Tribolium castaneum: one gene and its partner. The protein of the gene in region 2 purifies or fractionates together with the protein of the main gene of each other region. This does not show direct contact. Links are inferred from orthologs where the notes say so. Each region holds a gene or a part of one and is shown on either strand. Other genes may lie near its edges.

What was found.
Region 1: the proteins of calnexin (region 2) and leucine-rich repeat-containing protein 59 purify together in Homo sapiens (affinity purification with mass spectrometry; 3 studies listed by BioGRID and IntAct, with this or other methods). This does not show direct contact. The link is inferred for Tribolium castaneum from reciprocal best matches to the Homo sapiens genes CANX and LRRC59.

What each region holds. Positions count from the first base shown.
Region 1 is NC_087394.1:31,265,311-31,268,628, forward strand, and holds leucine-rich repeat-containing protein 59, read left to right. Parts: upstream 1-1,567; 5' UTR 1,568-1,622; coding exon 1,623-1,718; intron 1,719-1,771; coding exon 1,772-1,831; intron 1,832-1,889; coding exon 1,890-2,735; 3' UTR 2,736-2,775; downstream 2,776-3,318. Other genes in the region: DDB1- and CUL4-associated factor 11, read right to left, coding at 674-764, 971-1,095.
Region 2 is NC_087402.1:5,189,982-5,193,687, reverse strand, and holds the start of calnexin, read left to right. Parts: upstream 1-806; 5' UTR 807-1,002; exon of another isoform or gene 1,003-1,007; intron 1,008-1,010; exon of another isoform or gene 1,011-1,105; intron 1,106-1,291; 5' UTR 1,292-1,310; coding exon 1,311-2,537; intron 2,538-3,220; coding exon 3,221-3,361; intron 3,362-3,590; coding exon 3,591-3,706. Other genes in the region: nSMase (putative neutral sphingomyelinase), read left to right, coding at 1-622. UniProt on the Homo sapiens protein: Calcium-binding protein that interacts with newly synthesized monoglucosylated glycoproteins in the endoplasmic reticulum. It may act in assisting protein assembly and/or in the retention within the ER of unassembled protein subunits.

The sequences.
Region 1 (3,318 bases), on a different chromosome or scaffold from region 2:
AACACATTTTAATTAAAAAATATTCAAAATGTTTCCAACAAACTTCTTGGGATTCTGTCGCCATGAGCAACCAACATGAATTTTTTTCCCTCAGTTTTACTTAAATGTACCATTGTTAACCTATTTATTGCACGCAAGTTTAATTTTTGGCTAATATACAAATGTCAGATCGCAAATAACAGTATTTTCAAAGCTACTTTTCCAGAAATCCAGAAATGAATTTTTGAATTTTTATTTTTTTACCTTTTAATAAAAATAAAGGTGGATATTCGTGCCATTAAAAAAAATTAAGTTAGCCTTCTATTTTCAAAATAAATGACGATAGAGATTTAAAAAACCTCTCAAATGATAGAATTTAAACATTTTTAACTGTTTCCCTAATTTCAAGGTTTTCTGTTAAACCGTTCTGAAAATATTTAACTGTATCCATACTTTTTAGCGACCCTGTATAAATGTATTAATAGAGATTTTTGGGAAATAATCTCTTTAAAGAATTAGCTGAAAGCCTCAACTAAAGGAAATGAAAATTTTGAAGCTAACTATTTTTTATTTAAAGGGAAATTAAAACAAAAAAATGTAAAATGTAGTAATGTAGTATACATAAAAAGTTTAGGGGATTTACCGGAGACTAGGTAGTACTCAGTCTGAAAATAAAAATTATAAAATTACTTACATCAAGAATGGAAGTGTTTGGCTTAAATTTAATTTTTGGCACTTTGGGACCATCTGTGAGATAATCTGCGTCCATAATCTCCACTTGACCACTGAAAAAGTTGCACATTTATTACCCCTTTGACCAAAATAATAGGAAAAACGTAACAAACAATGAAAAAAAACCGGGTTTGTTTATGTAATTTGTACACGTTAAATCAATATCGTTCATTGTCGCGGAAAATAAATAATTCAGCCTGAATTTTACACTATATTTAGCAGCAAGTACAATGACATTTTCATGGAAGAATTCTCTCACCTATTTATCAAACTTTGCAGCAAGGCTGCATACTGATGTTCAGTCTCGTAATCAGAATCGTCTTCGGACCCAGATCTCGAGTTCAGATCATTTTCTTCCATTCTCCTCGAAGTGTAAGATCCCATGGAATGTAGGGGTTGAAATTTTCACTCAGGACCGTAACAACACCTCATATATGCACCATAATACGGTCATGTAACGTGGTTACTTAACCGCTTACACAAACACTAAACAAAAATCGGTGGAAAGCACTAATGAAACGCAAAATTTTCCGAAATATTTTGCCAATTAAAAATGACAATATTTTGACAAAATGCGCATCACGTTGACGCAACCACTCAGGATTGCCAAAACATCGCTAATAAATTAAAACTAATCGACTTTCATTTTCACTCTTGAATTATTGCACATATAATACGTTTTGACCCAAAATGAGTGTTACATAATAATTTGGGCTAAAGGAAACTGGTTTCGCCACTTTCTCCCTGCCTTTGGTGACTTAGCGAGCGATTTTGGCACCACTGCGCGATTGTCACGTTGACAGTTGCGTTTTCGTGGAAGTGGAGCAGTGACGTGGATTTTCAATTCTTGGTTAGTTTTCTATTTTTCTATTAATTGATAACATAAACTCGTAAGATTATTACGATTTGCAATGGCACCGTCAAAAATCAATGTAAAAGAGCGCGTTTCTGATGGAGAAATTGACCTTAGCATGTCAGATTTACAAGATGTTCCTGTTAAAGAAATCGTAACGATGTTTCCACCTTAATTATGACATAAAAACGCCCCTTTGCTTTGCAGGCAGTGTTCAAGAAGGCCACCAGCTTGGACCTATCAAACAACCACTTGAAAACTTTGCCAGTAAGCGCCAAATCGTTGCTTCGAAAAGGCACAATTTCGCCATATTTTTGCGTTCCAGGGCAACTTCGCGACACTAACCCACCTAACGAAGCTCGATCTGAGCAAGAACCAGCTGAGCGAGCTACCGGAGGATTTCGGGGATTTGGTCAAGCTTAAGTATCTTGATTTGTACCAAAACCAACTGCAATACCTGCCTCTGAGCTTCCACAAGTTCAAGGCTCTGAAGTGGTTGGATTTGAAAGATAACCCCTTGGTGCCAGCGGTCGCCAAAGTCGCAGGGCCTTGTCTGGACGCCAAACAGTGTCAGAGTTGTGCAAAGGATGTTGTGAGTTTCTTCACTCAAGTGCAGGAGCAGATCGCTAATGATTTAGAAAGTCGGCAAAAGCAACGACAGAAGCAGCTTGAAGTGAATCAGAAACAAATGGATAACAACAAGAAGAGTAAAAAGAAGGAGAAGACCAAACAGAAAAAGGAAAACGGGCCTGTTAAAGAAAACCCGCCAAAGTTAGCGAACAAAAAGAATAAAAAAGCGCCACCTTCGCCGAAGAATACTGGAAAAGCGTCCTCTTTCATTAAATTGATTTTTACGTTATTATTTCTTACTTTGTCGGTTCTGTTTGTGTTAACTTCTGTAAAATATGAACGTACGCGTACTATTGAAAATTCTTGTGTAGACTTGTATTACAAGGCTGTTGATTCTTTGTCTCCTAATTTGAAGGTTTATGCAACCACTGTGGGGAGTTATGTGAGGTTTGCTCATGACAAAACTGGGAATGTTACACTTAATGTTGTGAATTATGTTAAAAATTCCGACAATTTTGTAAATGCATATGATACCTGTAGTAAGTATGTAGATACAATGGTCCAGAAAGTTAAAGAACAGTACAAGAAGATTGTTTCTTGAAAGTTCAGACATTCTTTTTGAATAAAAACTAAAAACCAAACGTTGTTTTATTAATTCAGTAACAAAATAAGTTAAAATTCCATTACCATAACCACAGCCCTAAGAGTTTTTCCAATAATTTTTAAATTTGTAACAAATCTATTCGACGACAAAAATTAATTCAAGTTAAATTACATAACAAAATAAATAACACTTTGCCCGGTTAGTTTGTATAATAAGTAAAAATGCATCTTTTATTTCGTATTTCCATATGGAACAGACCCTTGAGTGGTGAAATAATTTACAGAAGAATCTTCCGTAACTGACAAACTTCTAAATACTAGTGTGATACGAAGAACAAACTGCAAGTTGGGAATAGACGTATCAGGGGAATTTTTCAGGATGTTCGTTGACATTTCAAAGAATTTATAAAAAAAAATGTCCTTTAAACAGTCGTTGACTAGTAATGGCATTAACCCACACGTTTGTTTTTCATTTTTCTGCAATGTTAGAAAATTAAAAAGCACAAACATATCGGTCGCTAAAAGTGCAGAGCGCACAGTTAACTATTTCATTGGGTAACATTTAAATTGGTCTATTAAAA
Region 2 (3,706 bases):
TGTTCCGGGACTTGTAGATGCGTTTGGTGAAGCTGGAGAAACGGTGCAGAATTGTGTGGCGACAAATGAAAGCCTCACTAATAGTTACACACCCGTGGCCTTACTCAAGAAAAACATTCCTGGCAAAAGAATCGACTATATCATGTATCATCCAGGCTCAAGTTTACAAATCGATTTAAAAAGCTACACATTGCCGTTACCACACAAAATCCCCGGATGTGCGTACAGTTACTCGGACCATGAAGCAATCGCTGCGACTTTAATCGTCACAAAGAGCGAGATAAGGTCGCTGAAAAGCGACCAACACATGAAGAAAACTGTCCTTGAAGAGAGCATAGAAATCTGTGATGACGCACTCAGGGGCTTGAATAACCATAAATATTTGTACTGGTTTTTTACGTTCGTTTTAATCGTGTTGCTGGTTACGACACTTGCAACTGACCTACCTTTCGGCTACAATCTGAATTTTATTTACCACATTTTGAAAATTTTAATCACCCTTTTTATGTTTTACACTTTGATGATGGCAACTATCTGGAATAAAATCGAACGTCATGCTGTGATTGCGGGCAAGTTGGGAATGGAGACAGCTTTGAGGAAATTAAAAGCCAAAGATTTGTAATTATATCAGGGCCAAAACAAGCTCAGTATTTTAAATCAAAGACCAACACCTGTTGCTCATTTTTTATTTGGTTTGTACGACTGTGATCGTTTCTGTACCACTGGTGAATAAAGTTTTCATTTTTTAACTGTTTGTACTTTTTTTCCCCGCCTATTTTTGAACTGAGCGCAACTTTGCCATCTGTTTGACGCTGATTGGTCGGCGAATTTGTGTTTATTCTCTTCATAAATGCGGTGTATTACGTGGTGTTCAAGAACTACAATAAAAATAATCTGATAATAAATGAAATACAGCCTAAGTAAACACCAATTTGAGTTAAGACTGTGGTGCTGAAGCTAGTGTTGTAAGAGTGCTGTGTAAAACTACTTCCGGATTTTGAGGTTAGGTATGTCATTTTATTTTGTCGGTCTCTAGAATTTTAATTATTTCATCGTGAAGTCGGCTTTTTTGTGCATTTTGTAGTAATAGCGTGTCGATAGTTGGGTAAGAGAGTGCGTTTTTGTCGATATTTGGCGTAATTTCGTAACTAATCGATTGGGAAGTGCGTTCACTAACCTTTCAGGTTAATTTTTTAAATTGGATTAGTCCCTGACTTATATTAGTAAATACTGCTTCCGTTTCGTCATCCTGTAATCACGACACATAATTAGTGCCCGGTTTGGTTTGCAGGACAATATATGATCACAAAATGCTTAGAAGTCTCGTTCCGGCAGTAATCACGTTATTGTTGATATTTTCGGCGGTAAAATGTGACGAAGTGGACGATTCTGACGAGGCTACTGTGGAAGTAGAACCGGAAGAATCACACATTGATATCCCCTACGAAAGTCCGAGCCCCCTTGACCCGAAAAAGGTCTATTTCGCCGAGCATTTCGACGATCCAGACCAGTTTGCGAAACGTTGGATAAAATCCCAAGCGAAGAAAGAAGGGATTTCCGAAGACATCGCAAAATACGACGGTGAATGGCAACTTGAACCAACCCAAAAAGACAGTCTAGTGGGCGACAAAGGTTTAGTGCTTAAATCAAAGGCTAAACACGCTGCTATTGCCTCCTCTCTCCTAAAACCGTTTATTTTTGATACTAAACCATTAATCGTGCAATATGAAGTAATATTCCAAGACGGCCAAGAATGTGGCGGAGCCTACTTGAAGCTGCTCACCCAGGACTCCGCCAGTAAAAACTTGAACAACTTCCACGATAAAACCCCCTACTCGATCATGTTCGGCCCCGACAAGTGCGGTAACGACCACAAGCTCCACTTTATCTTCAAGCACCGCAACCCTCTCAACGGGAGCGTCGAGGAAAAGCATTGCAAAAAACCCAAAGACCGCATTGAGGAAGTCTTCTCCGACAAACTCCCCCACTTGTTCACCCTTGTCCTGCACCCTGACAACACCTTCGAGATCCTAATCGACAACAAAGTGGTCAATTCGGGAAGTTTGCTTGAGGATTTCACCCCGGCAGTGAATCCTCCGAAAGAAATTGACGATCCTAATGACAAGAAACCTGAGGATTGGGATGAAAGGGAGAAAATCCCTGACCCAGATGCCGTGAAACCTGACGATTGGGATGAGGATGCGCCGGCTCAGATTGTTGATGAATCAGCGGTGAAACCGGAAGGTTGGCTGGATAATGAACCGTCGCATGTTTTCGATCCTGATGCAAAGAAACCAGAAGATTGGGATTCGGAAATGGACGGGGAGTGGGAACCACCGCTTATTGATAATCCCGCTTGTAAGGATGCTGTCGGGTGTGGGCCTTGGGAGCCCCCACTTATCAATAATCCCGATTATAAGGGGAAGTGGAGGGCGCCGCTTATCGATAATCCTAATTATAAGGGGAAGTGGAGGCCCAGGAGGATCCCCAATCCCGAGTTCTTCGAAGATAAGCATCCCTTTAAAATGCAGACTGTTGTAAGTAAATGGTTAAAAAATTATCTTGTTTATGTAACTGTAATTATTGGTGCCGATATGTTTACATTATTTTTTCTTCTTGTTCAAATTTATCAGTTGATTTTGTACACTATTAGAACATAGTTTACAAATCTGCAGTCAAAATTTGGCTGTCAGCTCTAGTTTCCTCTCCAGTTTCCAGAATTTGTGAAAAGTATATTTCGATATGCTTTGTACAAAAATAACAAATTCTGAGCTTCTAATTTTGTTAGCAATTTTTTTAGAGTGCCTAGGACAGTGAGAAAATGGTAAAAGAATTGCCTCTTGATAAAATTGAGCCAACTTGAAATTGACACATTTATTTTTGCGATTTTTTTTTATTATCTTTGGTTTTTGGCAGAATTGTAGTTGTTTAATTTCCATATTTTTACCGAAACTGCGTATTTGATTATTGCATTGTTGCCTTCAACAAAACATGTTGCAAAAAAGAATTGTTTGTGTCACTACAAAAGGATTTAGTTGCTATGTGAGATATGCTAACTAAGGAAGTAATATATACTTAGCCACACCCAATCGTTTTTATGCTTATTTTGGCGAATTTGCGTTCGTATTGTGATAAAAATGTTTTGTAAACCTAAATAAAGAATTGTATTTTTGCAATTCATTCAAGATTAATTTATCTTTGGACAAATAACTTTTTTCAGACCGCTGTTGGATTTGAGTTATGGTCAATGTCAAAGGACATTTTCTTCGACAATATTATTATTACCGACGATATTACCGTTGCGAACCATTGGGCAGACGCCACTTTTGAAAAAAAGAAGCAAAAGATCGCCAAGGATTCGGTTAGTATCTGTTTAATTTAAATGAATTTTATTATATTTGTGATTTTTTACTAAATAAGAGGACACTGTGGGGTCGTCTTATGAAAAAGTTAAACTATAAACCTGTACCGTGGTTCTTATATTTCGTTTATTGCGCCATACCGGTTTGTTGTTACATATGGTACCTCTACTTCTGCATTCAAGAGGTATTTTCGTACTGCTAGTTATAGTTTTCTTTGTTTTGACATAGGAAAGCGTAATTCAAAAATTAGCTACCTTGACCAATGATTACCCTTGGCTTTGGGGAGTATACATTATCGTACTAGGCATCCCTGTTGTTTTTGTATTATACCTTTGCTGCAAGCC